3 linked regions of the Astyanax mexicanus genome follow. The protein of the gene in region 1 purifies or fractionates together with the protein of each later gene. This does not show direct contact. Links are inferred from orthologs where the notes say so. Each region holds a gene or a part of one and is shown on either strand. Other genes may lie near its edges. The genes, in order: nek7, ankyrin repeat and SAM domain-containing protein 6 and anks3.

Region 1 (11,312 bases):
GGCTGGGATATATACAGCTGTGTATCATCAGAGAACTGGAAGGAAATGTTGTATTTATTGATTACTCTGGACAATGGGAGCATATGGCGATTAAACAATGTTGGCCCTATCATGGAACCCTGGGGCACTCCACAGGACAAAGTGCAACGAGATAATCGCGGCCACTCAAGTAAGACTGGAACCAATTTAGGACAGAGCCAGAGAAACTAAGCCAATCTCATTAATGATTAAACAAAAGATGTTCAATGTTGCACTAAGGCTAGACTTTCACATTACAAGATTCATTAAACATTTTTCATTCATTTTTAGCTTAGATCAGATTTGGCAATCTTGAGAGTTCACATTCATGATGGGAAGTTACTCTTTATCTGGCTGTAATTTGAATAAATGTGTTTCTAAAATTACATCCATGTGCAAAATTATACATTTATGGCTATTGCCTCTGCAGAGACATCATAAATGTGTGGTTCATACTATCCTCATAGTTCTCAACATGGCATCTGTTTACGGCCATTCAAAAAAAAAAAGCCAATCTGCAAGCTGGTTAAGCCATGAGTGGAGGAGGGTCAACATGCAAGTGGGGAAACCTCCACATGAAGATTAGTTCCCAGAGCAAGGCAAAAAGATCATAAGCCAAACACTACAAACTATTTCTATATATATATATTTTAAATCAGATTTTATCAGGCATTTAAAATATGTTGAAGTTGTAATTAGTGACCTTCAGTATTATGTATTTTGTCTCTCCACATTTACAAAGATTGTCTGGTCTTGTGTGACCAGTAACGGTCCGGTACGGCAAAGATGGCCGCCAAGTGAACAGACTCTTCTATAAGGACACTAATTTCCTTTACCAACAGCATTAAGTGCATGTGTACAAAGATGGCGCAAAAGAAGTAACATTTGTTGTAACTGTTCCTATTCATGTCGCATAGGATCACATAAGTAAGTGACTCATCTGATTTGAAAAGGTTATATTAGACATGTCCACACAGCCCTGAAAAAATCAGATCTGTGTTAAACAAAGACAAAATAAGATAATAAGTCACCTATGTCTTGTAATGTGAATATAAACTACGGTCCATGAGAACCAATACAGTTAGTTTACCAATATCCTGGTCATTTAAAACTTTTAAAAGTGTTTAATTCCAAGCGTTAGAACTGAAATTTTCTGAATGTTATGATGGGTATTGAAGTCAGTGTCCATTATCCTTCTTAAATCCTGAAATCTCTCTTTAACTTAATCATGCACTGCAAAAAACGAAATCTTAGCAAGGCAATAAATTTTATTTTCTTCTCTGATAAGACTTTTTCTCTTACTAAGCATTGTAAGTGTTAGATATTTATCTTAATCATTCTTACTTAGAATTTGTACCTTATTTTAAGTAATTTGAACTCAAAATATGCACAATCAAGCAGCAATCAACTTATTCTGATTCTTGTGTCCAAAAACAGTGACTTTTTGCTCGATTTAGGAGTTACCTTACTCATTTTGAGACTTTGCCATTGCTTTTTGTAAGAAATCTTACTAAGAAAAATTTGGTTACCACATTAGCAGATTTGTTTGCTTAATATACATATATTTGTCTTAATTTGCATGTATTTTGTCTAGTTTTTGCCAATGGATTTTTTGCAGTGTGGTGCTTTAGTTCCTCCATGGGGCTTTAGAAATACAGAGCAATGATGTTATTCATTAAGACATGCTTTAAATATGTCAACTAGACTATCATAGATAGACTCTGTAACAGGGGCCAGTGAAGCACATAGCTTAGAGAAATTTAGTTTTATAATGACTATTTTACAGTCTTATGATTTATTGTCTTACTTAATTAGGAACAAAACAATTAATAAAATCTATATTTTTTAGATTTATTAAGCTACACATACAGGGGTAGTGTGTACCACAACATGCCAAAATGAATAGAAGTAGATGTTCCTAAAGGTGTCCTGTATTTTAACCATCCAATACAGCCTGAATATTCACAGTTTCTGCAGATTTACGAAAAGAGGGAAGTGTTGATACGGTTAGGGATAAGTCCGGCTTCAAGGCAAGGTGACACCGTGACATCAGGCCTTCTGAACATGTGACAGATGACAACTGCTGCTGATTTTGGTGCTGACTATGGTGCCTCCACACACAAATTTGTTGGTTGTCTCCAGCAAGACAAAGGTGGGTCTCAAGACAGAGTCATTCCAGTTTCATCCCACAGTCCAAAAACATGGAGATCAGGAAAATTGGATACTCTAAATTTCCTTGACAAATTGAACACTTTAAATGTCTGGTCTAGCCTGGCACAGCTCACCAAGCTTCATTTATTTTGGTTAATTCCCTATGGGTGCAACTATTGTTTGTTTAATGAATTATAGAAAAGTGTACCAAAAATGCAAAGTTTACATCATAAGCAGTTATTATACAGGCAGCCTGTATTTCATCATCCTTTTCTCCAGAAATCCCAACAGAGAAGACCCTAAAAGAGAGAGAGAGAGAGAGAGATGGAGGAGAATGCTCTTGTATTTGGTGTTGCTGGGGGCTGGAGAACATCATTAAAGCTTACAGAATTATAAGTGTTTGTTGCTCTTCGCAGCTACGATAGCCTCCACTCCTATGGGAAGATTTTACACTAGATGGTTGGAACAGTGCTGATTGTATCCAGCCACAAGAGTTTTAGTAAAATCTCAGTTACTGATGTAAAATATTTAGATCTGGATAAAGTTGCAACACTCTAGAGAATGCATTTTCACTGCTCTATTGCTCGAGGCTAAGGACTTAACACTCCTCCAGCTGACACCTGGCATTGGACATGGTGACCCTAGGATCATATGCAGCTGCTTCAAAAAGCTCTACTCTGTTGACAGTGCTGTTCTTATATTGTTCCTGTGCAATTTACACCTTCACCATTTTGCACAACTGACCATCAGTAGCATAATTATAATGGGTGTCTGGACTCTATGAGACATGTTGTATATATATATATATATATATATATATATATATATATATATATATATATATATATATATATATATATATATATATTACAGTGGAAGTACTGTTGGAAAACATACATAACCTGGAATCTCCATTCTCCACTGTAAGACTAAAAGGCAAGTAATTCCAAATGCTTAGCTTCCCCTGGGGCATTTTATCATTGTCATTTATGCTTCAGTTAATGCGTTAAAAAAATGTTTTACTAAGAAAGATCTCATGAGGCACGCAAGCAAGCGCACATGCAGAAACATCATTTAGACAGATCCATGGCTATTGATTTTTATCGACAGATATAATAATATAGAGTCTTTGTTTTTTTTTTATCTATAACGTGATCCTTTCCCTCGTACCCATAAAACCTGTGTTGTATTATTGAAGAGATAAGCCAGACTCTAAAGTTTGTAGTGGGGGGAAAAAGGGAAAGGAAAAAAAAATCCCTGAAGTAATTCTAATCTGCATCCCAGAAAAAAAAAATCCCAAATCAAACAAAAGTCCTTGCGGCAAAACAAATAATATCGGCGAAGGAGAAAAAGTTTACAATACGTTTAGAATGCTGCACCGGCAGTGTGTGCTACTTTTAGAACAATAGACTTTTCCGCGCGATTATTAGACAGATTTCAGCAAAACAGACTCGCATGTTGAACCAGAGCGTCTTGATAGAGCTCCCTTTTACAGTCAGAAGCGCTGCCTCTCATCCATCCATCTAATTATTCCCTCAGAAACCCAAAATTTGAAGATACTAAAGACAGTCCCTATCTGTCATGGCAAGGCATTGATCTCATTGAGAGAAAATGTGGGTGTTGAGGGAGCCCAATATAACTTGTACCATTAAAATCCTACCCAGCATTATTCGGCAACAGAATTGACAGATATTCCAGAGATGTTTCTTTTAATCTTCAGCCGTTGTTCAAGAAGAGGAGAAAACACACAGTGCATGCTTTACCTTTTTCATATGGTGTTTGTGCGAAGGTTAGCAGAAGCACTATTGAAGTGTCAGGCGGGGGGGAGAAAAAAAATTCAGCACACATCACTTGTTGATTATCAACTGTCAAAACAGAGGTGGATAATACTGTTTCCCATACAGGGGAAAAAATATCTTTCAGACTGCATTGTCTGATTAAATGCAATATAAGGATTCTGGTGTCAGCTTGCTGTATTCAATTTTCCTACAGTAAATCAAGCTTATTCAGGATTTTCTTTGATAATAGAAATAAAAGAATAACTTTTGAGTTTTGTTAGCTTTTAACAAGATACTTGGAATCTATGCAGGATTCAGGATTTATTCATTTTTATAGGAGTCAAGTGAAAATAGTCTGTGTTTAGAGGAGATAGAACCTAAAATCCAACAGAACTGCAGAACTTCATCTGACAGACTGAGAATTTAGACTACAGTAGACTTATCCTAAATTGTCTGCAAAGAAACAGAGACTGTACAGTGTAAATTTACTGTAAGTGTAAAGTATGTGAATTATGTTGACTGCACAGATTTAATATTCTGTACTATTTGTACATACATATATATATACAGTATATATATATATATATATATATATATATATATATATATATATATATATATATATATATATATATATACACATATACATTGCCTGAATTGGACTGAAACTTTAGATGGATAATATTTTCAACAGTCTTAATCAACTTAATCAAGTGGTGCACAATTTTGTTTAGGCCTAAAAAGGCACCATTAGTACCTACATTGGAGTTTTTCACCTTGTAGGCTAGTGGCCCCAAACTCTGCAGGTCCTGGCCTGGAAGGCACTGTTGTAGATCATCAGCTTTGAATACATATGAATCTCTACAGCATCAGCAAGGGTGTAGGCTACCTGCATGTCTTTTTTTTATGTCACAGATACTAACACATTTGTATTAATTCGATAAGATTTCTCAGTGGCAGTAGCAGCATCATTTGAAGTTTATTTAACTCACAATGGTTTAGTAAACAGCAGATACTTATTAAACCTGAGCTTGATTAAATTCAGCAGTTACAGGTTTTTTATTCATCTGATCTGACTCTGAAGAAATTACACTTACACTCATGTTTATAATCACATGCCTGTCATGATAATTACGTTACTGACAATTTGTGATTATGACCTCAATCATTTTGTCCAACGTTTTTGCCTTGCAAGGGCAGATGATCAACTTTGAAAACAGTGGTTTTATTTAACCTATGTTTTATTATGTAAAATATTTAAACATTTTTAGTTTTTATTATTTAAAACTGTTGCTTTTTATAAGGGTATAATTGCACTATGTCTGTATTATCATTATATGATTAGTACAAAATGGTCCTAAAATGACATATATAATTTGTGCAATTACTTCTGGGAAAATATACAGTCCAGAAAAATTAGGCTTATTCAAAACCTAAAGGCAAAATAATTCTCAAGGCATTTTAAAATGCAATTTACATTTTTAATTGTTTATGGAGACCTTGTTATGTTTCAAAGATACATTTGATTATTATTTTTCATATTTTAATTACCTTGACATTTTACCACAACAGTGTGGACAGCTAGAGACAAAATGAAGTCAAATTAATATTATTAATTGATGAACATGCAGCAGGGGTCTTCAGTGCCTTGAATATAAAACACCATTAAGGTTGTGATGTCAATTATGTCAAAGGTAACTTTTTTAAAGGGGGGTTTATCCCAAGATGACACAGGGTGAACAGGGACTTCATGGACACTTTTAAATAGCTTGATATTTTTTATGAAAACAGCTTAAAATTAAATTAGATAAATTAAATTAGCAGCTCATACATGTTTTTTTTTTTTTTACTGTGGGCACATGGCTGTTATTTTAGGTTAAAATTGTAATGTGACTTAAATTACAACAATTTCATAACTTTTTTTTATTTTAACCTTTTTTTTAGAAACTGTAGTTATATGAGACGTAAAACATTTAATTAAGAAGAAAATAGTTCATTTGTTAATATTTTTTACCATTTAGTTAAGAAAAATGTTATATTTAGGGTTAACCACTTTTCATTAAATATTGTTTCAAATCTACCAAAAGTACTTTAAACTTAAGACTAACATTCCTCTGTATTGGTAATCGTGTGTTCTTTCAGAGTAAATCCTATTTTATTTTTTGCAATTTTTATTACATTTATTTTTATGAAATATGAACAAATATGTTGTGGACACACAAAAGACAAGATATACTGATATACATGGGTTTTTTTTTTATTATTAGGATGTAGCTAACACATTTTAATAATTATTATTATTAATAACTCAATAATTCAGCCTGTAATTTTCTCAGAGAATGTCTGAGAAATATACATATATGGTCGTTCTGGACAGGAATAAAATCACAGAGGACACCCCCCCCCCCAAAAAAAAAAAATAGAAAAATAAAAATAACAAATTAGTTAGTTACCAACTTGACTCGAAATTCCCCTTATTAAATGTGTGTTTGGGTATTTTCAAGATGTATTAGCTAGCATGTAGATAGCCTAACACTTTTTAAGGCAAATAAATAGAACTAACAATCGGTTTCTTCTTGAAGTAGTTAACAGTTAACTAAATAGCTAGTTAGTTTAGAGTTTAAGCTATTTAATTCGAATTTCTCCTCACGAAATGTGTTTTTACATAGAATGTATGCATTTCGGTTTTACCCAAAATAAAACTAGGTCATTTCCACAGTCAGAAAACAGCACAGAGAGCAGGTAGCCGCAGACGGAGCTCCAGTCGGTGAGACAGTCGGGTGTCAGAGTCTCCAGCTCCGGCTGCTCTCGCCGCTGCTGTTGGCGGAGTCTGTGCGGGAGCCCGCCCCCTTTCCATCGGGCATGCTGGGATGTGTGTTTTACACCTCAGGAATGGCGAGCTAGAGGATCGCTCTGGGGACACGCACATCTTCACTAGTCCGCAGTCTTGGACTACCCTCGGGAACCCTGCGAGCTGCAGCAGCTGCGCGCGCTGAGGCGGGAGAAGTGAGCAGAAGCTCAACCCGGGACTGAGCTGAGCTGAGCTGAGCGGCGCGGAGCCGTCGACTGTGCGGAGTTCAGAGCGCGGAGTGTGGGGAGCTAAGCTGGCACTTCCTGGTAAGGATATAGCGGAGGTAGCTAGCCGTTAGCTAGCCGGCTAACGACTGTGAGTTATCCCGTGTCAACAGTCAGCTAGAGAGCTAACCTAGCGTAAGCTAAATTAGTGCTATGTAGAGGTGGGTAACTCAGGTCCGGAAAGTAAAAATCCATCCCAGGGTTTTGTACCAAGTGCCTGGGCTGCTCTGCTGCAGGGCGCTCCCAGGCAGTTGGTACAAAACCCTGGGAAGGATTTTTATTTTCTGGACCGGGGTTACCCACCTTTAGTGCTAGGTAGCGAGCCTGCGCGCTGTTCAGAAGTTAGAAGTTAAAGTCGTCTCATAAGTCAAACACTAAACTAAGCGCGTGTATATATGTTGTAAAAACGATTATTAAGGACAAACGCGTTTTATTAGGTTTGTAAATGAGTGAATTCGCTGGAAATGAGGGAAACGCTCACTCTGGAAAAGTTTCAGCTAGCTGTTTAGATAGCTAGCCAGCTAGGCTAACATTCAAGCGTTGCTAGCGTAGCAACTCGGTTGACGTGGGCTAAACAGTCAGGAGTTAGCTAAGTTAGCTAGCTAACGCAGATATGGTTATGTAGCTGAGAGTATTATTATTTTGATTGATTAAATTTAAAACCTAAATGTAACTTTTTAAAAAATCCTGCTTTTTGTGACTCATTACCAGGAAGTCGTGAAATGACTGTTCACAGTTAGCGAGCTTACTAACGTCTTGACCTGTCAGCGAGGTGACACACACACACACACTAGTGAATAGTTTGTTTAGCTGTTTCTGTGACTTCATGACAGAGGCACTGTTGAGGAACCTGTTAACTAAACTATCTTAGCTCACTAAATAACCAGCTGGGTTAGGTTAGCTATTTACCTAGTGCGTTACTAATAATGAACTTTGCCTAATTAGTTACATTAAATGTGGCTTCTAAGTTACTTGTTTATGTGCCTGTTTCGTTGTAAAATACAAACAGTTTACTCTAACCCTCTATGGCATGATGTTGCCGTCAAGCAACAAACTAATAATGTGTTTTTATTACACCATTCCTTACCATATCTTGGTTTTAAATGTATGTGTTTATTGGTTTTGTTATAATATAATGTTACAAGAAATATCTACGTCCAGTACAATGAGGTGTATAAGTGGGACATACGTAACGTTTTTTTCATTATGTAGATCACATTTGTTATGGCTATTATGATAAGAAAAGATCTCCTTAAAAGTGGTGTGATTTTCTTCAATCCTGTTTTAGTCTAAAATAGCACCACCGAAACAGTATGTTTTATTTTTAACTTTTAGAGATACCATTTTAGATATAAGCTGTAAAATACTAGGAATAATATCAGGTCTAGATATCTGTACAGGTATTGAACAGGTCTTGATGTCAAATTACCAATAACTTTGCTCTAATACATGTTTTACCACCACTGCCACTCTGTAATTTATTTTTAGATCTCTGCAATGTGGGTTTTTACCTTTATGACAATTTTATTGATGTAAGGTGGTGCCATATTTTGGAATGTTGTTATTGCAAAAATGCCCTGAAATTTGTTGGTATTAGTTTAGGGCCATATGCCATCATGGAACTGGAATTTTTTGCTGTTTGTAGCAAAAGTAAAATTCACACTGTTCTTATTTTCAATCTGTTGATAATTTTAGATGCGAGTGAGTTATATCATATCATATATGCAATATTATTGCATTATAAAATGTTTAATTTGTTGTTTCAGTAGTGTATATTTGAAATTAATGTTGTCATACCACCAAGAGTATAGTTTGTGCAAAAATACCCTGAAATATTGTGATTTATTTAGGGCCATATCGCCCACCCCTAACTGATATTAGTCTACAGTCTTGTTTTGTCAGAGTGGCAGGGAAGATCTGAACTGACAGGAGCTACACTTTAAAATTAAGATTTTACAAACATGAATGATGCCACAGACATTCTTTTTATAAAAAAAATATACAGTTATAGTAGATACAGAAATCTGCTGCATAATCTGTTGTGCTCATTCTGTTTTGCAACACATGCACATACAGGCCTCAGCTTTTTGTAATTGGTCAAAATGTCCAAAGCATAAAATTTTTTTTAATTTAGTTTATTTATTATTTAGTTATTGTATTAAGTCTGAAGGTCATGAATGCCATAAGAGTGCCCAGTACAAATGATCAAGATTTTTAGATGCTAGTTAGATAAATGGAACTCCATAGAGCTCCATGTCCAAAACAGACATCTTATAAACCCTTGTAATTTCGCCCTCAAATTTGTCTTTGTAATGCTGCTTTTCACTTTGCTCAGGGTGTCTGTTTCACAGAACAAGAAGCAGTCTGGCTACCCTGTCAGGTTGATGAAGTGCTGTCAGGTAGTTTACTTTGGATTCACTTTTTCTGCATTTTGTAATTCTCATACATCTTGCGCAATCCCACTTTAGATCATTGTAACCTTTGCATTTTTACTTGTATGATTAAGTTCTCAGAAACTGACAATATAGACCGGATGCAGTTGCATTATCTCCTAATGCTCCACCCTGCATCATTTTACCAGTTTTCACAGTTTTGTCCTCTACAGAAATCTGTCCCTAATTACATTACAGCTGCCAGCCTCGGAGGGTGTGGGCAAACATGCTTGTGCTGCAGATGCTCCAAAGCATGTGAAGCCAATCAGTCCATCCTTATGAGCTGTGTGTCAGTGTTCTCTGTGTGCTGGAGAAGGGATGGTTGTACTGCTGAGGATTTCTGCCCAAACATCAGGTGCCGGAGATTAAACCCAGTTTTTACCTTAAAAAAACACTGATCCCAGGCTTTATTTATTTATTTCAGATGTGTCAAAAGAAACCAAATCAACAACCAGAATGTCCTGATACATTTCTGAAATTGATCATTATTTTGGCATTCGTTTTTACATTACATTAGCTAAAGAGCTATTTCCTGATTAGTGAACTGTTTTACAGGCCATAATTATGACAAGACACAATGTGTAATCTGTTTTAGATGAGTGTTTAGTTTTGAATTGTTGTGGATGACAGCGACTTGCCACAAGGACAAGTCAAATTAAAAATGCTGTGCATCAGTGATACTGTGGGTCTTTTGCATTGAAACTGACAGTGTTGATCTCAAAGCCAAAAGCTATCATTTGCTGTTACTGTTACAACTGAGACTCAGTCAGGCCCCATTTTGTTGTAACTTTTGTAAATTTTATCTAATTTTTATGTGATTATTTCTTCTTATATATTATATTGTATAATGTAGGCCCGATTATGATGTAATTTTTTAAGCCTAAAGTAATACTTAGGGGAACACCCATTCATATTAATCATACTAAAATTAGTGACACAATAAATATTTAGTTATATTTTTATTTTTTATTAATATTTTTTTTTACATTTAGATTTTATTATAACTTTGACAGGGATACCCAAACATTTGTTTCAGACTGTGTAGGCTCAGGTTATAGAGTCAATCTTTATCATATTATACAAAAGCTTATTAAGCAATGTATTTTGTTCAACACAAAAAATAGATCAGTGTCATCTCAAAAACATTAAAATACTCGAATCAGACTAGGGCCTAAACAAACACATCAGTGGCATATAAGTATAGTGCAACATCTCTAACTAGACATTCTTTCTATATAACAATTGCTCTTTTTGTAATGGCTTCTAATGGGCCTTGTTTTGTTTGTAGGCAGAAGATGTAAAGTTCCTAAATTCCAGAGGATTTGCACTGAGGTTAGTTAAAGGGAAAGAGTCATTAGTCAGCTAGCCAATGTTTTTGTTTAGGTAATTAAAGTAATTGTTTGTTTTAGTTCCTTTTTATTCATTAAAGATTTGTTTAACTTAAACAGTTAATATGCTCATTAGCATATTAGGTGATGATTGTTGTTAGAGGTGTAACAGTACACTCACTGTGTACTTTGATTGATGTTATTGGGCTCAGAATGCAGATTTGTTACTGTATTGTGAATACTGTTTTCCTGTAGTTTGAGTCTAGATCTGGGAGTCAGAGAGTGAGGCATGTGATGACCTACAAGAGTGCATAATTGGTTCTGCTTGTTCAGCTGCTCACTTCAGCAGTTGTTGGATATTTAAAGCCGTATAAAGTCTGAGATCTTTACTTTTTTGTCAAATTCTGACTGACTGATTTATAATTGCTCTAATTTTCTGTTGAGCCCTATCTGGACGGGAATAGTTTCTCAGGGTGTTCTGGGGTAATTTTCTCTTTTATGGGGTGTCCTCTGTGGTTTTATTCCCGTCT
Region 2 (11,476 bases), on another chromosome or scaffold:
TGTAAAGGTGTGTCCAAATGTATGATTGGTACTATACCCTGAGACCTCACATTAAAGTATTTAAGGTAGATGAATTAGCAGTCCAGTCATGTGTCCCTATTACTTTAAAATATAAATTACCACCACTCTTATTTATACCCTTGAGCTTACTCAGCTCATTTCATTGAGGGCTTTTTCTGTTTTCAGCGGTCCAGTATTCTACAGTTTCTGTTCTGTCATCTAAGGAGATTTCAGAAGAGGAAAGAAATATTTAAACTTGGGGAATACTGCTGAAGCTTTTATGATCTATTTCAAAATCTCCCCAAAGGCCTTGATTATTTGAGGTCAGGGCAAACTTTGGAGATGAGAACCGATTACATAAACCCGCTCCTTATACAGAGTCCGTTAGATATTTTCCAAATTGCCGCAGGGTGCAATGCTGTGGTCAGCTGTTAAAAATTTAAAGGTTTCAATGGGCTTATAGCAGTCGTGATACACCAGATTAGCACCAGCAGGGATTGGAAAACAATACGAGTTGATTACATATGTAGAGTCAGATTGTGATCCTATTTCACAATTTGTTTAGGGAGGGTCACAAAGAAATTGCAATAATGGGAAACAAGAAAATTAGAAATGTATTTCCTGAAGAAAACACAATTATTATGCAGCTAAAGTGGTTCCATGGGTTTCTAAATTGTTGCTAGGTGGGTGGTGAGTTGTTGCTATTGTACAGTACTTGATTACTTGCAGTTGGCACCTTAACCCTTTCTCATAATTGGATTAACCTGTGTGAATGTAGGTCAATGAGCTTTCCAAACAAATTTTGTGTTTCAATAATTAGTGCTAAAGGTATTCAAATCAATACAATGACAAGAGTGACAAAATTTATGCATTTGCCTAATTTTAATTAAAGAATTACTGCAAACGTTCTGTAAATCCTATTAACTTCATTTCACTTCTTAAATATCGCTGTGTTCATCTGCTATATGATAGTTTTAATTGAAATTTCTGATCCAAATAACCAATTATTTATAAAGGAAAATCATAAAAGTTATAAGGGGTTCCCAAACTTGTTCTTAGCACTACTAAGCATGCCTGAGGTTCAAAGGCCTATTGAATTGTTCATGCTCTAACAAATTTAACAAAAGTTATTTTAGTCTTTCTTGAAGTATTTTTCTAGAATATTGCATTACATATAAAAAGTAAATGGGATTTAACTGTGTCAGTTCCACTGGTGGACCATTATTCACCATGCTTACAGAACATATGGTTTAAGACACTAGGATCAGTTGTCTTTCAGAGGCCCACAGTCACAGTTTAACGACCCCACGGACACACATTCACTGTAGAGCTGATGAACCAAAGGAGAAACCATCAGAGCAAAACTGAAGGGTTATGTACTAATCCAAAGCATATATAGAGGAGCTGAAACACACTTTACACTGTACACACTGCTCATCATGAGGTGGCAGCATACACTACACATCCATGCAAACAACTTTTTTGTAGATCTGAAGTCAAAATCAATGCTGACCGAATCATGGACCAAAGCCTGAGGAACATATTGTAACAACGATGGATGAAGAACACTAAAAATGGGGCCCAGGGTTGTGGGTTTAATTGTCTGGCCTCTGTATGTGAGGAGTTTGATGTGTTCTCAATGTTCTCAATTTGGTTTCTTCTCCAACACATGGTAGATAAACTGCAACCCGAATCTGACCAGGAAAAAGCACATAAGGTGATAAACGATTGGACACATTGGCTTAGGGTTAATGACTTTAAAGGAGCATTCAGTCGGAAATTAAAGCGAGCGTGTAAAATACCTACAGCATTGCAATATAAAAACACCACAGAGAGTTGTCTGCCCTGCCCACCACTCCCCAGACAAGCTTACTCAGGTTGCCAAGTTGGGGAGGCTGAATCTAAACAATCCATTGTGAGCTCTCAATTCCTTAAATTAATTTATCACCAGTTCCTAGTAAAAAAAAAACTTAGCAGTTCTGATAATTTCTCTGACTAAATTAGTTAGTCAATTAGCTTACCTGTTCAGGAGAAAAGTAGCCAGCTTGATGTCGGTCTTGTAGTCTTTTTGAGCTCTAAGTCTAAACTTTCGAACTCACTGCCAATTGGTCACTGAGCTTTTTTGAGACATGCTGAGGCTTTTTAGGCTGTGTAGCAGCTAAAGTTTCAGCTGAACCAGCCCTACTTGCTAGTTTCCATGCTGCAGCACCGCTCGCTGATGTGTATTGGCAACCTAGGAGGTAGAGTTAGTGCTAGGGAATGAGCAGTAGGCAGAGTCAGAGGCCAAAACAAACACAGATACCTTCATGCCTTTTCTTGTCTGCTTCACAAGAGTTACATAGTGCAGTTAGTACACTCAGCCTAGCCTTAACAGACAGTATTTTCTCTTTTACAAATCATAGGAGCATCATTAAGATTTTAAAGCATATAGTTTAAGGTAAAATGTTTAATATTGTTGTTTAGCCCATATCAACCAAGACATTAGCTGATTTAGCCATGCAGACTGGTGGGATATACGTTTACATTATTTAATAGCCTTGCAGCTCCAGTGCAGAACAAAAGAGGTAAAGTTTTGAGAAAATGTGTAAAATATTGGCTGCTAGGGGTTTAACTTGGCATTACAGTATTCATATGAATCAAGGCAGTGACTCATGAAATTACATTTGGCAAACCACATTTCTCATTTTAAATGGTTTAACTCAGTAAAAGATTAAGAGAATGTTATACGCTTGCTTTACTAACATTATTACAAAGCACAGAATGGTCCTTATTAATCAATTAATTCAAATGGAATTACAAGGCTTCTTTGTAGCTCATCAAAACCTATTCTCGCTAAACGGCACTGACCAAAAGGAAAAGACGGATATGGTGTTTTGTAGGCGCTCTCTGGTGGCTGAATATGGGACAGCTGCTCATACAATCTTATCTCCTTTCATCAGCTTTTATATTTACTTCAAACTGTATTTTTGTACACTCTGCTGTCATATTTTTCGGAAAATCTACTTTGTAGCTGCATGTAATAGGTTGCCATACCTTTCACACACTTTTAAAGAAGAATTCCACTATTTATCAAACATAATTTAGCATAATATTTCATTTAAGAATGATTAAGTAAGTTATTCAGAGTGGTTTTACCTAAGGTCTTGTTTTTACCCTTTCTTATTGAGCTCTAAATGTCTGCTCTTTGCTTGTATCAACTGGTCTTGGTGTAGGCCAATTCAGCCAATAAATGACCAGAAAATGCCATACCTTAATAAATGCACAAAGAACCAGGAATACTGAAATACTATAACCACCAGGAATACTGACAACTAATATACCGCACTGGAAAAAAATAAGAGACCACTTCAGAGATCAGTTTCTCAGATTTTGCTATTTATAGGTTTGAGTAAAATGAACATTTAGAGCATTTATTTGCAGAAAATTAGAAATAGCTGAAATAACAAAAAAAAAATGCAGAGCTTTCAGACCTCAAATAATGCAAAGATGACAAGTTCATATTCATAAAGTATTAAGGGTTCAGAAATCAATATTTGGTGGAATAACCCTGTTTTTTAATTACAGTTTTCATGCATCCTGGCATGTTCTCCTCCACCAGCCTTACACACTGCTTTTGGATAACTTTATGCCACTCTCGGTGGTTCCAGCGTTTTTTTTTTATTTGGTAAAATCAAAGAAACCCATCATTTTTAAGTGGTCTCATTTTTTTCAGAGCTGTACACTACAACCATCCATGCAGAAATCTATATGTATATTATATAATTATATATGATATATGTTATGTATATATAAAAAATGATTTAAGCATGTCCCATGACAAACATGTAGCCTATCCTAAAAATGACAACTTTACAGGAGAAGGCAAAAATATTCTAAACTTTGAATAGAAGTAATTTGTCATGTGTTTTAAATTTTACAGCATTTCTACTGATCTATTCATCCATAATTATTTACACACTGAACAGAGCATCTAAAATGGAGAAAATTAAAAAGGGACAAACATGGGATAAATTAACTCTGGCCCTAATCTGGCCTAAACCAGTGACAACATCTGTAACAAATCTGGCAAACTAATTTAGCCCGGCTTATTTTTCCACAACAGGTCCAAACCAGCACATCGGATTCTAATATAGGCCAGAACTGACACAGGGCTACAATAAATTTCATTACATTTGGCCCATATCTGACTCAAATCTATGACTCAATTACATATTTGTGGTTCAAATAAGGCACAGACTTATTTACAGTTAGACTGAATATTTATATTAATATATACAACCATTTACAATGGTTTGCAAACGTATTCATACCCCTTGAACTTTGTCAACTTACAACCAAAAAAATTTCGAAAATAAAAATCTGAAAATGTGATGTGCAAAAGTATTTAGCCCCCTTTACTCTGAACCCCCTATATAAAATCCAGTGCAGTCAATAGCCTTCAGAAGTCACTGAATAAGTTAATAGACTGCAGCTGTGTGTAATTTAGTCTCAGTATAAATACAGCTGTTCTGCATCAACCTCATTGATTTGGTAGAAAACACTAGTGAACAAACAGCATCATGAAGACCAATGAACTCACCAGACAGGTCAGAGATAAAGGTGTGGAGAAGCAGGGTTAGGTTGTAAAAACATATCGCAAGCTTTAAGCACCAAAAATGGAAAATTAATTCTACAACTGCAAACCTACCAAGACATGGCCATCCACCCAAACTGACAGATCAAACAAGGAGAGCATTAGTCAGAGAAGCAGCCAAGAGGCCCATGGTCACTCTGGAGGAGCTGCAGAAATCCACAGCTCAGGTTGGAGAATCTGTCAACAGGACAACTATAAGTCATGCACTCCACAAATCTGGCCTTTATGGAAGAGTGGCAAGAAGAAGAAAGCCACTGTCAAAAGAAATACATTACAAGTGCTGTTTGTACAGCAAACATGTGGTAGAAGGTTCTGTGGTCAGATGCTTTGTGTGGCAGAAAAGTAACACTGCTCATCAATCTGAACACATCATCCCCAAAAGTGAAACATAGTGGTGGCAGCATCATGCTGTGGGGAGGCTTTTCTTCAACAGAGACAGGGAAGTTGGTCAGATGTGATGAAAAGATGGATGGGGCTAAATACAGAGCAATCCTGAAAGAAAACCTGTCGGAGGCTGCAAAAGACTTGAGACTGGGGAGGAGATTCAAGACAATGTCTCTAAACATACAGTCAGAGCTACAGTGGAATGGATCAGATCAAAGAATATTCATGTGTTAGAATGGTCCAGTCAAAGTCCTGACCTAAATATCACTGAGCTTCTGTGGCAAGACATGAAAATTACTGTTCACAGACGCTCTCCATCCAACCTGGCTGAGCTTGAGCTGTTTTATAAAGAAGAATGCGCAAAAATTTCAGTCTCTAGATCCATCTATCAAAGCTGGTTGAGATATACATCAAAAGACTTGCAGCTGTAATTGTGGTGGCTCTAAGCAAAGTATTGATTCTGAATACTTTTGCACATCACACAATTCAGATTTGTATTTGATTACATTTTTTAAATCATTTTCTTTCCATTTTACAATTATGTGATGATTTTTTTGTTGGTCTATCACTTGAAATCTCAATACAATTTTGTAAGTTTGTATTTGTAAGGTGACAAAATGTAAAAAAACAAAAAAAAAAAAAAAAACTTGCCATGCTATGCTATAATATCAGAGGAAGTTTTACTTTGATCCTTATGAGAACCACACTCTCAGATCTACTGTAGTTCTGCTCTCACTGACCAGCAAGCCGGGGCGCAGCTGAGGGGTGGCTGAGTTGGTTGTTGAATTGGGACAGGCCCCTCTTAGACAGCGGCAGTGGTCTACGGATAGCGCATGCGCACACACAGCTAACAGCGAGTTGCCAAGGATATGGCGAACAGTTACTCCAGAAGTTAAGTTAGGAGAACACAGTTACTCTAATACTCTAATAGACCACCGCGATGCGATTTTCCGTGCTGCTGGATCCGTAAACACCATTATACTGTGTTTTATTATCTATTATCATGTTGTTTAAGCCTGGGCCGCCAGTAAACCCAGTAAAAACAGTAAACCGCTCAGTGGGAGAAGAAGAAGAAGAAGAAGTTTTGTGGTGGTGGAGGAGGAGAAGTTTTCCCGGAGCTCAGGATGAATTTCGGGGTTCCGGCGAATTCGCTGCTGCTGTTCCGCGCCTGCGACGAGGGAGACTACGACAGCGCCAAGCGGATTCTGGAGCACCCCGGGGCCGAGTCGGGAAGGCAGTCCCGCAGCCGCCTGGACTCGGTCTCGGAGTGCAGCGTGGACGCGGTGCGGGCCGGGCTGCCGCTGGTACCGGTGGACTGCACGGATGAAGAGGGGAACACGGCCCTGCACTTCGCCTCCGCCAGCGGACACGAACAGCTGGTGCGGTTCCTGCTCCGGAAAGGGGCGTCCGTGGACAGCCGGAACAACTACGGCTGGACCCCGCTCATGCAGGCGGCGAGGTGGGGTAACCGCTCTCTCTGACCAGGGGTGCGAGTTCAAGCTGCCCAGATAATATCCAGCTAGAACTAACTTAGTTATCTTGTGGGGCCTACAGAGCCCCCTAAAGTGACATTGTGTTTAAAAAAAATATGCGTGGCCACAACTTATTAATGCGTGGGGACGAGATAATTAAGGCGTGTGAATTAGATAATTAAGTAGTGGCCAGAGAATAATAAAGATTGCTTTTCTGTAAAGTAATACAAAACCCTAAGGTGACATCATGCAAAAAAATGATATATATACATAAACATAAAAAAATGCGTGCCCACAACTTTTTGAGGTGTGGAAACAAGATAATTAAGGCATCTGAATGAGATAATTAAGTAGTGACCACAACTTACAAATTAAGGAGTGGGAATGAGATCCTAATGCGTAGGAACGAGACAATTAAGGTGTGTGAATAAAAAAATTAAGTCGTGGCCACGATTTATTAAGGCGTGGGAATGAGATCCTAAGGCGTGACCACGCATTATTGAGGCATGAGAACAAGAACCTAATGCGTGGGTACGTGATAATTAAGGCATATGAATAAGAAAAATACGTTGTGGCAGCAACTTATTAAGGCATGGGAATGACATAATTAAGGCATGGGAATAAAAAAATAAGTCGTGGCCATGATTTATTAAGGCGTAGGAACAAGATCCTAATGCATGATTACAACTTATTAATGTGTCTAAACAAGATCGTAATGAGTGGGAACAAGATAATTAATGCATGTGAATGAGATAATTGAGTTGTGGCCAGAGAATGAAAAAGCTTGTTTTTCTGTAAATTAATATGGAGCCCTTAAGGTGACATCATGCTAAAAATAATAATGTGTGACCACGACTTATGAAGGCATGGGAGTGAGATCCTAATGTGTGGCCACAACTTATTAAGATGTGGGAATGAGATCTTAAGGCGTGGGAAAGTGAAAATTAAGGCATGTGAATGAGAAAATTAAGTTTTGGCCACGATTTCTTAAGGCATGGGAACAAGGTGCTAATTTGTGGGAACAAGATAATTTAGGCGTGTAAATGAGTACAGGCATGTACAGACTACACATCAGTTTAAATGTAGTTACTTGAATTAAATCAGTTTTCAGTTTTGATTGTTTAAGTGTCAGAAAGCTGTCAGATTTTAGAAAATTAACTTTCTGTGTTCATCTCTACAGATTTGGTCATCTAAACGTGGCTCATATCCTGCTGGAGAATGGAGCGGAGATCAACGGCAGGAACCGCTTGGGTGCCAGCGTGCTCACCATGGCCGTGCGAGGAGGCCACGCGCACGTCGCTAAACTCCTTCTAGAGAACGGAGCTTTTGTGGATGATTTTGACCACCTCTCTGCAGTGGAGGGCAATGCTAACGGGAACAATAGCAACCATAGTGACAATGGGAAGAACTTCCTAGATATCACACCATTGTTATGTAGTGCTCAGCACGGCTTTGAAGCCATGGTGAGACTGCTGTTAGAATGGGGGGCTGATGTGAACTTTTCTCAGAAGACCACGGGATGGAGCGCGCTGATGTTAGCTACTTTAAGTGGAAAGGCTAGCATAGCTCAGCTGCTGGTAGAGCGAGGTGCTGATCCTGATCACCTGAATGTACTCTCCAAAACTGCGTTTGAAGTGGCTCTGCAGCTTAAACATAAAGAGGTGAAGAGTTACCTCGACTCCATCACCACAGTTCGTCCACAACCAGGTGAGACCAACAAACGGATATAATATGAATCTTTGGTATTCAGATGATACAATATTTTATACTGTTTATACATACACTATATATATTCAAATGTGTGTGAACACGACTTCAAATTAAAAATTTTGTTGACACAGAATGGACAGATATGAACAAAGGGCATTCATTTTTTTTCTTTTGAACTCAAGTGTATGTAACTTCCCAATACCTCCTGAGACTCATTCTTGCATTTTTAAAAATATTTTTTTATTAAAAATGTACAATTTTGAATACAACATACAACCATCCTCCCATCCAAAATAATAATAATAATAATTTAAAAAGGGAAGCAGCACACTTAATTTCCCCTAGCTATTTAGAATTAGTAGGATGTAGAATTAGTGTCCTCATATTGGGACAAAAGTTCGTTTTAACATTTAAAAATGATTCTTGCTATTTGGGATCAAAGGACCAAATTAGTGGAAAACAAACAGTAAGTAAATAAACTGGTTTCAAACATAAAATGTTATTATTACCTGCCACTTGTTTCTGTCTGGACTGGCTGTAGAAACGTTTGGCTCAGATTCCTGCCATCTTGTTTTCAATCAATTTAGTGTAATGTTGTCATGTGACCACTAGATGTTAGGGGCAGTGTCTCCATATGAGGCCATATGGTCAATATAAAAAAAAACTATTATTGTGCAGAGAAGCAGAAATGTAATATCCCCATATAAGGATGCAGGGTCTCAAGATGTTAAAAAAAGTTCATTATTTATTTGTTGGAGTAACTTTCCTCAGTGTCAAGGTAAGGTTCCTTCAATATTTTGGAGCCTTTTTGTTAGGATTTGGTTGCATTCAGCAACTAAAGCTTTAGTAAGGTAAGGATGTTGGATGATCACTTTCACTTAACTGTACCTTATCCCAAACTTCCCAGTTTATCCCAAAAGTACTGGATGGAACATTCAGTCATTCCTGACATTAGGCATGGTGCTGAAAGATTCATGTCTGTCTTCCTCCTGTTCTATTGGTAGTAGTCTACTTTTCTAGATAAGTGTTGTGTGTGCATTTGTTTGTCTGTGTCAGCAATGGGTTCAACTTAAAGCATCTATATGCATTCAATAGAGGGAATGTCTACAAATAATTGGATATATAGAGAATGGTTGCAGTTTTTGACTCTTAGTTTCATCTTTTAGTTGCAGTAGTCAAAAAACGTGATTGGAAAAATGTAAAAAAATTATGTATTTTTTCTTTAATCCTGCACCATCATCAAAATGCACTGTGCTGATTTTTCCTTTTCTGTTTTTTAATCGAAACAGATGCCGAGAAGAAGAGACCTGATGTTTTCAGTGCCCTAAAGCTAGGTGAGTAACAGGGAGCACATGAATAGCATTAGAAGAGCTCTGCACATTAATGAACTCTGTTTTGGTAAGATCATTTTCATACTGTTGCTCTACTGTTGGGGTAAAGCATTGCATGTCTTTGCATTGCTTTTTTAATCCTTTTCCGGTGAAGATCTCACAAGAATTTGAACTGACACCAATGATTCATTGATTCAATGTTGTAGGAAATGCTCAGCTGGTGAAGGAGATATTAGAGGAGGATCCATCGCAGGTGAACTTGGCTAATGCAGATGGGGCATCTCCTCTAATGATAGCAGCAGTGAGTGGACAGCAGGAGGTGGTGCAGTTACTGGTGGAGAAGAATGCAGATGTGGACAAACAGGATGGGGTCCATGGCTGGACAGCTCTTATGCAGGCTACGTATCATGGGTAGGACAAATGTAAAATATACTATATTCAAAAAATATTATTACGGACCAATTTTGAATCATAGCTAATATATTAGGGGTGCAACAGTACATTCATCTCTATAGAACTGTCATGGTACGAATATCATGGTCTAAAACATATAGTCACACTGAGACTCCATTGAACTGTGTACAAGGTAACTTATAGATATAGAGACATGGAGGGATTGTTGGCCAAAGCAAGGGTATTCCCTCACTCGTCCTTAAAAAGTTCTGTGAGATTGTTTAACCACCTTGCTGCAGAGAAGATTTTTGGTCTTTTAAAAACTTAGCTTGCACATGTTGAGGTTGTCCATTTTGAATTTGGAGGTGCACTTAGAATTGATTTTGCAGTATAAGTCTTGCTCTATACGTCTTCAGCATTTAATTTATATTTCTATTAAATTTTGCAGCCTGTATTTAAATTTACAAAATGCATTAGGCTTGCTCAGTTAACCTCTGAAAATTCTGTTATCTTTTTTGGTAAGGATTCAGGCATATATACTTTTGATGGCTTTGTCATTAAGGTCATATTAGTGCAGGTGTCACTTAACAGCAGAACAATGCAACAGAACTCTGAATCCTTCTTAGACTTAACCACACACTAGACGACTTTAAAAAAGACTCTGAACAGACTTTTAATAGACTAAAAACTGACACCCTCTCACATCTAAAGACAAGTCACAGACTTTTTACTCACAGACTAAGATTTTGCAAAGATCTTGCAGGGTCACTATTTGCAAGACTGCAACTAGTCTTTTTTTTTTTTTAATTATTGAAGAAAATATTAGATATCATATTTTTTCTTAAATCATTAATAAATAAATTTTTCACTCTATCATGGTATAAATGGGAAGACACTTTGAAGAGACACTCTTGCTCTTTACTCCACCGCTCCACCAGTTTCTCCTCCTTTTGTACACTCCAGGAAAACCGCGGAGTCTCATTCATGTCCAGTTCTGCAAATTTTCCTGCGCTTGCCTTGCGGCTTCCCGTAGCTCTCCTATTGGTTGTTGACATTGTTCACATCATTATTTGTGATAATATTTACATCAAGTCATTACTTACAATAATATTAAACAAAAAAAAAATCTAAGCACCTTACACTGAACTGTAGCAAGACTCTCATGATTTTATCCCATGACTGGAAATTGGTCTGTGACTGAAATCGCTTGAAAATCATAAAGGGTGTTTTAGGAGGTTTTCACACCTGTAGTTAATTTCTCTGGTCCGAATCAGTTGATGAGTTTGTTTACTTGGAGCATTTTTCTCCCTCTGTTTGGTTTGGTTTCACACAGGTATAAAGCTAAACGCACCAAAATGCACACCAATAAACCACGCGAGCAGGCTGTGCCCTCTGATTGGCCAGAGCTGTCTGGGAGTAAATATAAATATACGGAAAAAGTAAATATAGCGAGAGGATTCTGTGTTCCAGCATGAATATCTGTGCTTTAACACAAAACTGAACTCTGAAACACTGCGCTTTCAAACACAGTGTTTGGACATGCAGCGCAGATG
Region 3 (11,144 bases), on another chromosome or scaffold:
GCTTAAAGCTAGCCAAGCTTAAAAATAAATAAACTAACCGTCACAAAACCAACAAAACGAACACACATCAGTAATGATTTTTTTTTAAACACGACTAACTTGTTCGGACTATAAACAAAACGATACTAAAACTCAATATATAAATAATTTTTAGCTCGCCCTCCATTACACGACGTTCAGCTCACACGTTTCTCCTTCACTTGTAAGCCAACATGGCGTCCCCTCACAACAATTACTGCCTCCTCTTTGTTTAGCCCAAAAACGGAGAAAAACACACCGGTGAACACGCTCTCTATCAATGAGCGAACTTCTTAGAAATAGAGACAAACGACCCTCTAAAGCAGACTAACATACCCACAAAACACGTCGAATTACAATTAATCCATTAATACTGAAACGGATTTTAAACGGCGGCTTGTTGCTAAGAGGTTACCGCGCCACAGCGGAGCGGAGCGGAGCAGCCCTCAGCCAACCGCCGCTTCTCGCCTCTCCGCGGAGGAAGACAGGATACAAGTTAAAGTAAAGCCTCATTCTGAACCCAAAACAAGCCAAACAAACAGCCTAAGAGGCACACAGGCCTCCGACTCCTAAGTCTCCACAAACACATTAAAAATAGCCATTAACTTACCTGTTTCGTTTCGATTACTCCGAACACCCAAAACAACGACCGTCGACCGTGGGTAGCCTTCCTCCCTGCCCCCTATTTATGCGATCGGTGACGCCATCTGCAGAAGTCCCCTCCCACCGTGTCCTCCCATTGGACAGATCGACGCTTTGATCTGGGGAATGGCGCATAACAGCTAACGGTTACGTCGCGTCGTTTTATCATTATCGCACCAAATAAGAGAGAGAAAATATAAAGAAAAAGAGGGAAAGAAATCAACTGCTTCTTCTTTTGATCCTCATTACTTTAGAAGCAAAAGCAAACAGTATCCCGTCTTACTTACACATCCCAACATGCATGTTTAATCATGAATAATTATTAAAAAAAGGCAAATTCAAAGTATTTAAACATTTCTAGCAGTGATCACTGGAGCTTCTTATTTATGGGGGGCATGAGTATTCAAATCTGCATTATGTATATTTAAATTAAATGCACCAGACTTTTAATAAATTTCAGATGTTTAATGGCTTTATTTATACATTAGAATTGTAATCATGCTCTTTTGGGGTTTGCGTTTTTTACTTGTGAGGTGTTAAGGTAAAAGGGGTATTATTTTATTCAAATCCATAAAATATTTTTTTCATGAGTTTTTTAAATATATATATATATATTATACACACACACAAACAATAAAGCTTTTATGTTCCATACTTATTCCCAAAAAAAATAATAGATTAACACTTCAGTGTCTTACATTTTCAACATTTATGCTTAAAAATGTTTCTAAAAGTGTTTTTTGTCTTTTGACAGGTTGTTTGATTTTTTACCATATTAATTTACTAGCTGTTATAAGTTATTCGGTTTCGTGTGGCCTTTTTATCACTTTAATCAGGATACTGAAATACTATCAGTAAGGAAGAAATCGCCAGTTTTAAGTTTTGCGTGCATTTGCTTTATATAAATTTAAATAAGTATAAAACTACGAGCAAGATACTATTTATTGTTTTCAATTGTTTTGCACGTGTTGTGCTTTCTAACTGTACGTAAAATAAAAGAGGGAACCACTGCGTGAGGGAGTCTATTCTTCGACGGACTCTCTAGTAGGTGTACACCAGCACCAGCGTGAGGACAGTTGTTTACATTAGGCTGTTTTTATTTCAGTCTAGTTAAGCTGTAAACCTGTTATATTTAAACATTTTCACATTGTATTGAATATAGAAGACATTTAGAATTATTTAAGAAACGTATTAATAAGGATTTATCCCCACTGAAAGCCGGATGTGAGGTGAGTTTATGCTGAAGACCAATTTACTCCTTACTGCTGGATGAACTGGGCCAGCTAAAGATATAATTTGTTGATATTCAGTAAGTTTTTAATGTTTTGAACACGATAGTAAACACACCTGTTTTGTAGGTAAAACTGAATTGGGAAAAGTCTGTCATTGATAAATTATGGAAAGATCTATGGAAAGCTTGAGTGAGTCTCTCCTGATCTGTCCATTTTTATACAGAACACAGATGTGGCCATAGCTTTTCTGAGGTGAACTAGGTGCTTATTTATTACACACAAGCAATCCAAATTCCATATGGCATATACAGTATTATAAAATATTTAAATATTATATATGCAGCACGAAGGCATGATAAGATAACTAGATAATAATATAAAACAATATTTACACTTAAAATCATAAATTATGTACAGGCTGTTAGTCTGTAATGCATTAACAATTAATAGGAGTGTAATGGTTTACAAAGCCTAAACTTGATGTGATAATGTTGTCTTGATTATATACATTATTTTAAATAAATTAATCAAATAAACACGTGCATTATCTTAACATGCATGTATCTACTTTTAGAGTTATAATTATATGACAAATGAAACAAAAGCTGAACCACAACAAGAAGCTCATCAAGCTGGGTGCAAAATATAGGTAGCTGGGTAAGTTACTGAATTTGGTGGATTTTTATTTTTTGTAGGCTTGGCATCCTCTCCATGATATTAATGGGATAATAAATACTTTTGAGGTAATTTCTGCCCAAAGTGACCTCCGACTATGGAAGAGGGTTTAACTGGAAAAGGTAAAGTAATGGGTTCTTTGCAACTGACCACTATTCTTAGCTTCCTGCTCTTTGTGTATTTTGACGTTCCCACATTTTCCCACATTTACATTTCCTTGTGTCTGTGTTTTGTAAAAGGGCCACAGGGAGAAAACTGCTCAACCCTGGCAGATTTTCATTGGAAGCGAAGCGATAACTCCTTCACCTTTAACTTTCTCTCACAAGCCCCACCCTGCCTGGGATACAGTCTGGTAGAACCCAAGCAGGCAGATTGTTCGAAAGCAGGCAGCTCATTTGCTTTCAACTTTCAGATCCCTGTACAAACCGCACAGAGTGGTGAGCCAGAAGACGAAGCCATGCAGACCGAAACAACAGAGACTGGAGAAACCGCCACTGAGCTCAGTGCAGTTGCTTCAAAAAGCAAAGTCAAGAATAAGAAAAAGAAGCAGCAGCAGCAACAGAAGAAGAAAGGAGGAGGAGGGGAGGAGGTGGTGGTGGACAAGCAGCAGAAAAAGATTAATAAAGTAACTGAAGAAGCTCCAAAACAGGAGAATGTAGAAATGGTTAGTGAACACACATGTATTGAGCTTACTGTTAGACTAAAAAAACGAAGTATTTAATTTCACATATTGTGTTTGTGTGTGTGTTAGTCTCCAGATGAGCAGCTAAATAGAGAACTGGACTGGTGCATCGAACAGCTAGAGCTGGGTCTACGAACTCAAAAATCGTCTGCCAAGCAGAGTGAGTAACAAATACTTTTAAACACACTATGGTTATTTACTTGCATTAATTCACAATAATCCATACAAACAAGATAAACAAGCTGAAATCTGTGTGTGTTTGTGTAATAGAAGAGGAAGCCAGTCGTGCTCTAAAGACCCTGCGCAGCTCCAAAGCTCCTCTGGTGAAAAAGAGGCAGGTAATGAGAGCTGTGTCTGGAGATTACAGGAAAAAGATGGAAGAGGAGAAAAATAAACAGTTCAAACTCATTCAGTCAGGTGAGATATAGTTTCACTATTTGTACAGTGGGAGGAATTTAGACATGCCATTCTGCTGTTTCTTCTTTCCTGGTACTGGCAATCTAAAGAATTAACTAATAGAAATAGTTTAAACACTAAATATTTAAACACTGCTGGTCTGTTTTTCATTTAATTTTTTAACATTTTTTAATGTTTTTCACTATTTTTGCATTTGGACTTCCCACAGTAAAGGAGAGTAATTTACATTTACACAATTTTGAACTGCTGATACAAAACACTAAGTTGCATTGTGCAATTGCAGTGTTCTGGACCCAGTGTTAATGAGAGAGTTGTCATTCTTCCTATTACAACATAATGTTGCTTTAAGATCAATATGTAAAAATGGGACTGCCCCACAAGATAAAACACAGCTGTAATAAACCGTAATATTTTTAGTCTGGTTACAGAATTAGAATGTAGTTATTCTGTTTTTTTTTTCTCCAATATCCAAGAAGGAAGTATCTAATATTAGCCCAATAATGCTCTTCATTCATAATAATCTAATCTTTAATGAATAGAGTTTTAATTCATTTAAGTTTTAATTGGTCTAATTTAAAAATTATTACAAGTAGTAATAATTTAGTAATAATTACAAGTAGATGTTCAGTATGTTTGCATCCTGTACATATGCACATCTTCCCTTTCTGTAGCATAATTGCTGTTTGCATAATTAAACATATCACAGAAAATAAAACTATGGTAAGGTGTGCAGAGGTAATTTTACATTAGATATATTTATCTATTTAAAGTTTGAGTGACTTGTTTACACCAACAAAATGTGCATGTGACCAGGATTCTCAAACTCATCCCTTTCTATGTGAAAAGGCAACTAACTGGTCATCCCTGTTTCAATAGCTATGACCACAGCAAGGGTTAGCGCTGTGTCAGAACCTTCCCGCAGACCAGTGTTCCACCGCCGTGCTGAGACAAAGAGAGACACAACGCCCAGCACAGACAAACCCCAGGACACACATGGACGTTCACATGCTGTCGAGCAGACTGATGGACACACGGAGCAGTTTGTTTTCAGACCCTCTCAAGAGGAATTTTGCTTCAACTTTGACGTGTGATTGACTTCAGATAAGCAGCAGTGGAGCTACACTATTGGGGGAGGATATACTGTGCAGTTCTGGGGTATTATCACTGTATACCTGAATTTTATTGCAAACTGAACCAAATACAAGTTGATCATGGATAAGGCTTTTTGACCTTGGTGAATAAAAATTCTAAAAAAAGGTTGATTTTGTAATTCTCAATTACAAAATAATATACAGTACAAGTGCAAAGCTTGGACACACCCTTTCTCATTTTACGTTTTTTTTTCTTTACTTTTATTCTTTTCTACATTGTAGATTAATATTTAAGACATCAAAACTAAGAATAAATGCATATGCAATTATGAAGTAAACAAAAAGTGTTTAAAAAAAGCCAAAATACATTTTATATAATAGAATAAATATTATATAATACAATTATGTCACTTGAATAAATATGTATGCTTCTTTCTCAGTATAAGTCAGTAATGGTTCTTCAAACCAGTTTATATTGGGAATATACAAAACTAGATTACCATCTAGGGCATGAATTATAATTTTTTTTTTAGTTGGAACCCTATAATTTTTGGAAGCTTAAGGGTCCCTGTGGATATAGCAAACGTAAACTTCAGCGAATAAAAAACACTATTTTAGTAAATTAACATTAGGAATGTAAGAATATTGTAAGAAAACAAAAAGGCAAATCTACTTTTTCACATATTCTTGCACATACACATTTTTTATGACCCACTTGTATTGGACATACAGCACTGGGAAAAAAAATAATAGACCACCTCAGTTTTTGAATCAGTTTTTTTTATTTTGCTATGTTTGAGTAAAATGAACATTGTTGTTTTATTCTATGAATTACCGACAACATTTCTCTCAAATTTCAAATAAAAATATTTTGATTTAGAGCATTTTTTTTGCAGAAAATGAGAAATGGCTGAAATTACAAAAAAGCAGAGCTTTCAAAAAATAAGTTCATATTCATAAAGCTTTAAGAGTTCAGAAACCAGTTTATTTGGTTAAATAACCCTGGTTTTAATCAGTTTTCATGCATTTTGTCATGTTCTCCACCAGTCCTATACACTGCTTTTGGATAACTTAATGCCACTCCTGGTGCAAAAATTCAAGCAGTTCAGCTTGGTTTGCTGGCTTGTGATCATCCATATTCCTCTTGATTATATTTCAGAGGTTTTCAATGTGGTAAAATCAAAGAAACTCATCATTTTTAAATGGTCTCTTTTTTCCAGAGCTGTAGATATGCCATGTAATATTATATTAATAGTAAGTAAATAAATAAGGCTTGACATAGTATGAAAATGTAAAATGTAATTATCTAAACAAAAAATGTGGTTTGGTGTCTGAGGGCAACACTAGGACATAGAGGGTTAAATAACTAAATGGTATAGAGTCTGTTGTGGTTACCATGGATACATAAAGTATGGCGGAGTTTTATACAATATAGTGAACTGAAAAAAAAATTATTTTGCTAAAATGAACACGTTAGTTATGCGTCAAGCTCACCCAACACAACAATTCGTTTTATTATTAAAACATAGTTTTATAATGATAAAAACTACCCCTAACTTTTGTAAAGTTTGTCAAACGTAAAGACGGCTACGGCAGTGAGCGCTCATGGGATATGTAGTTCCTTAATTTACGACACGCGCTTCAGATCCATACGAGGGAAGTTGAAAAGACTACAAATCCCTGTCTGTCCTGTGAAAGCTAGCCCGAACAGATGAGAGAACTTGTGTACGAAACGAATTTGTATCCATTCCGTTAGGATACAAATCCATGGAGTTGTTCGTCTCGAAAAACATACAAACAGAAACTTTACCTGCTCGTATAAGTAAGTAACTTAACTACATTTCTTTATTTCTTACTGTAACATTCACTCAGCGAAAGCTTGCTCATAAGAGCCATTTAATATCCGTGTCTGTTGATAACTCTCCCACATTTCCCAGTTCCCCTTATTAAAACATCTTTATCCACAGGGATAGGCTTTTATTTTACAGTTGAACTGGAGCGAATGAATCAGTTAATACATACATTAAGAGTTGGATAACAAATGATAATCTAATGTGATTGTATTGACTAACAGTGCTTTCAAGCGAGAGTAGTGTGTTTAGCTTAATGTTATTAAAAGTTTTAAAAGTCCCTGTGGCAGCATACAGTGGGGCTCTCTCCCGCAGGGAACTCAGTAATCGCGGAATTCGGTGTTCTGTCGAGTTGTGTTACCCGTCGAAATGTGCTTCTCAACGCCAATGCGCATGCGCGGACCCAAATCTATTTTATGTTTGTGTTTTATGATAGTTCTACAAAAGTTTACTTGGGTGCATTTAACAGCCTGAACCTTCTGTCCTTATGTCATTTTTGTCTGAGTGTTACAAATGTGTAAATTGCAGTTAATAATTATAATAATAATGAAAGTAATAATAAGTGAGCAATAAAAATAAAAAACGGAACACTATCCCTATTTACCTCTAACTGTATCCTGATATATTGCTTGGGGATTTTTAAATATTCTACCTAGAGTATTTTTTATAAACATGGTGCTTTGTATAGCATTTTTTTTTTACGATACACTAGGGTAGCACGGTTTAGCAAGGTACCAAAACTCGACACAACACCGGCAGCTAGCTTGCAAGCTGAGTGAACTAGCTAATTAATCAGTATTTAGAGCTTCTCATTATCTTTTTTTTTATATATATACTCAAGAAATTACTGAAAGTGTTCTGTTCTACACCAACTTACTATTAGCTAACATAACCTAGCGGTGTTGTGCAGGTTAGCTAAAAAACTCTCAGCGCTGGTACACAGTGCTATGATTGCTCGGATTCCCTTTCTGCAGAGCAGGACTCGCAGTAAGTTTCTGTAATAAAAGGCTCGTTGTTGTGTTGGGTCAGGTTCGCTGGCTGGAGGATGTCTGAGCTGAGCGATGAAGCCAGCGAGTCAGAGCAGCTTGGGGCAAGTCTGTCTGTGTGGTTCGGCCACAGCGGGAGCGCCCTGATCCGGCCGGAGGAGCTCGGAGTGCCGTTGGACCTCCACACCGCCTGCTCCATCGGACAGTACGACGTGGTGGTGGAGTGTATTCAGAGGTACATGATACTGTCTGTCTATATCGGCCTGAGCTGCTCAGTCTAATCAATTCTGAGTTGGTCATAATTGTTCCAACCATTTCAACAATAATACGCTTTAAGGAAACCTAGAGGTGGGTAACCCCCACCTCAACTTTAAAATATGAAGTGATCTGGTTTTTTTATTACAATAAGATAAAAAAAAAAACAATTTGGATCAATATTTTAATACTGGATCTGAGCTATTATGGGATAAGAATGGTGATAAAAAAATAAGCCGGTAGTCAGTACTAAGAGTTTTAAAGTTTTGCTCTTTACTTCAAGAACAGTAGCTAATTAACAATTTAACTTAGTCAGTAGTTAATACTGATAATGAGATTTGCTCCCTATCCTAAAAAGTGTGATTAACGTTACTAAGTTAGTATGAGATTAAGTTTTAGTCATTAATCTAAGAATGACAGTTACTGAGTTTGTCAGTATCAAGTGATTTTTGCTAAATTTTCATCACCATTTTTTTCGCCATTTTGTTTTTCATGCGTAAAGTCCCATGGCAGATCATTATAAAACATACTAAAATAATACGTAACATTAAATTAGCATTTAATTTTATTTGGACTTTGCTAACTAAACGATTGATTAAGATATGGTTTAAAAATCTAAATTATTTTATTATTTGCATTTATTATGTAAGCATTTTACACAGGGCTGGTATGTTTATGGTTACAGAGCAATATATTTTACCTATTAATGTAAAAATGTCTTATAGTTTAGTTACTCTTTAAGTTTATGTTTAAGTAGCTTAGAATCTCCTGAAAATAACCTCTGGCATGTGTGAGCGTCTTCTGTAATTTTTTTTTGTAATTTTTTAGGTGAACAGTATTAACAGCATCTAATACTGACTGATGTTCATTACAGGAAGCTTTTAAGTCTATTCAAGTTATTTATTTATTCATTCATTTGCTCCTCAGCTTAAATGTATTTGAAATGTACAGTTTAAAATACTTTGATGATTAATGCAATTAAATGTAATTAATTTAATCAGAGAGGACGTAATTAATTAGATCATTTTTTGCAATCGTTTGACAGCACTAATACATATATATATATATATATATTTTTTTTTTAGAAGGGATGTAGATGTGGATGGGAAGAACCTTGGTGGATGGACTCCACTGATGTATGCAGCGTACATTGGTCATGACAACATCGCTAACCTTCTCCTGGAGTCTGGTGTTAGTGTTAATGCTAGCACTGCTAAAGGTCTAACACCGCTAATGCTGGCCGCTAGCTGCGGCAATGAGAGCATCGCTTACTTCCTTCTTCAGGTACAGGATATTAATTGGTTGATTAATGAAATAATTAAAATACAAGTTTGCTGATTAGATTATTAATCACACTGGATTATTCACAAGTGTTCCTGAGTTTGTATATTCTTGCATCTGATTGGCTATAAAAAGCAAGGAGCAGAGCTTGAGGGGAAGGATGGGCGAGGCTGGACAGCCCTTCTGCACAGTACAAGCAACAGACATCAACAGATGGTGAAATTTCTCTTGGATAACAACGCAAATGCAAATATCAAGTAAGATGCCAGCACACTTCCACACATCACACATGTATGAATACCCGCACACATTTTAAGTTGTTCGACAGACGTTTAGCTTGACCTTTTGGCCATTGGTTTTTCAGAGAGCCAGTGTTTGGATTTACTCCACTGATGGAGGCTGCAGCATCAGGCCATGAAATCATTGTCCAGTATTTGCTTGATCATGTGAGTGTGTGTATGTGCATGAGTGTGTATCTGTGACTTATTGTGTGTCAGCAGCTGTTCATGTGTTGTGTCATCTCAATGTGGGTGTGTATGTGTGTGATTTGCAGGGAGCTCGAGTTGAGGAGAGGAATTCTAAGGGTGAGACGGCGAGAGTGTTAGCCATGACGTACGGCCACACCAAGATCGCGAGTCTCATAGACATGCACTGTATGAGAGCGAAGCAAGGTCAGACACATACGGTGCATAAAGGCAGACACACTCTTATTTATACACACATAATAAAACTCTGACAAGCACAGACAATACCGTTCCACCTCATGTACCACATGTGATGCGAAAGACAATAAAGTCTTCTTGAATCCTTGAATCTTTGAGACCTCATATCTGTCATAGCTGTCATATTTGAGGATGTAGCTCTGTTTCTCTCCCTCTCCTTCTGGTGATTAGGTATGTATGAGGAGTTGAGCTCATCAGAGGAGGACAGCGCAGCTCCTAGACTGAGATCGACACGTAGCAGAACCAGAGGGCCCAGCATACACGATGGACCACAGGCCATAGCCCGTTTTAGAGTGGGACCCAAACATGGTATGTACCTACACACACACATAGTCACTTCATAAGTCTACTAAGAGTAGATAATCAATTTGCCACTATGTTAAAAAATCACAAACGTTCACTCATTTGGTATTACTATGTTTGGATGATCCATTATAGGTGCCTCAGAGATACTTAACATTCAAATGTATGTCTATTAAATGCAACTGAACTCTAAGGTGAAAGTAAATGATTCAGTATTGAATGTAACCCTAAATCCAACTCCAACTAACCTGAAATCTAATCTTTACATTTTGAGGTTATGTTGTGAGTTAGATTTAGGGTTTAAGTTAAGGTTTGGGTTAGGGTTAGGTTTTATGGTTAATTCATAATTTAATTCATAATTTAGGATCAGGGTTAAGAATCATTAACATTCAACTAATAGCACTTTTCCACCGATGTGGAACCGGCACCGTTCTGGTTTGCGGACCTAATTTTGAACCGGTTTGCCACATTTCCACGAACAAAAGTAGGTTCTGGAGCCAGGAACATTTGTTCGCAGTGGGAACCGAAAAATACAATGTTCTTTAGCATGAACTATGACAACATCTGTGGGTGTCTGTGGGTCTGTTTGTACAGGAGCAACACTCTCTGTTTATGACGTATGATATGATATTTTCACGGTTCCACTAAAACTGGTAGAAACGCAGGCTGGTTCACTGAAATGCACCTTGATTCTCATAATCCATAAGGAACTGGTTCAAGAACCAGAATTCCTTTGGTGGAAAAGTGCTATAAGAGTAAATTTGCCTTTAATAGACATTCAGATAATGTTAGATAGGCATTTATAAAGACCATCCAAAAAAGTGTTACCGCTCAGTTTTTTAAGAGCCATTCAGTAGGTTCTGACTAATGTTCTGTAATTCCTTTTGTAATATTTTTACTGGATGATAGATTGTCTCAGAAATAATGACAATAAAATATCTAACTAGCATAATGAACATGTAATAGGATTATAATACACTTACATCATGT

What was found.
Region 2: the proteins of nek7 (region 1) and ankyrin repeat and SAM domain-containing protein 6 purify together in Homo sapiens (affinity purification with mass spectrometry; 3 studies listed by BioGRID and IntAct, with this or other methods). This does not show direct contact. The link is inferred for Astyanax mexicanus from reciprocal best matches to the Homo sapiens genes NEK7 and ANKS6.
Region 3: the proteins of nek7 (region 1) and anks3 purify together in Homo sapiens (affinity purification with mass spectrometry; 3 studies listed by BioGRID and IntAct, with this or other methods). This does not show direct contact. The link is inferred for Astyanax mexicanus from reciprocal best matches to the Homo sapiens genes NEK7 and ANKS3.

What each region holds. Positions count from the first base shown.
Region 1 is NC_064423.1:21,308,863-21,320,174, reverse strand, and holds the start of nek7 (serine/threonine-protein kinase Nek7), read left to right. Parts: upstream 1-6,719; 5' UTR 6,720-7,064; intron 7,065-11,312. UniProt on the Homo sapiens protein: Protein kinase which plays an important role in mitotic cell cycle progression. Required for microtubule nucleation activity of the centrosome, robust mitotic spindle formation and cytokinesis.
Region 2 is NC_064408.1:108,797,903-108,809,378, forward strand, and holds the start of ankyrin repeat and SAM domain-containing protein 6, read left to right. Parts: upstream 1-5,883; 5' UTR 5,884-6,141; coding exon 6,142-6,476; intron 6,477-7,669; coding exon 7,670-8,196; intron 8,197-9,488; coding exon 9,489-9,533; intron 9,534-9,736; coding exon 9,737-9,941; intron 9,942-11,476.
Region 3 is NC_064413.1:15,004,961-15,016,104, reverse strand, and holds the start of anks3 (ankyrin repeat and SAM domain-containing protein 3), read left to right. Parts: upstream 1-6,429; 5' UTR 6,430-6,579; intron 6,580-7,636; 5' UTR 7,637-7,652; coding exon 7,653-7,828; intron 7,829-8,933; coding exon 8,934-9,132; intron 9,133-9,264; coding exon 9,265-9,386; intron 9,387-9,493; coding exon 9,494-9,575; intron 9,576-9,682; coding exon 9,683-9,800; intron 9,801-10,022; coding exon 10,023-10,160; intron 10,161-11,144. Other genes in the region: c6h8orf33 (UPF0488 protein C8orf33 homolog), read left to right, coding at 2,665-2,689, 2,807-3,231, 3,319-3,409, 3,520-3,666, 4,543-4,757. UniProt on the Homo sapiens protein: May be involved in vasopressin signaling in the kidney.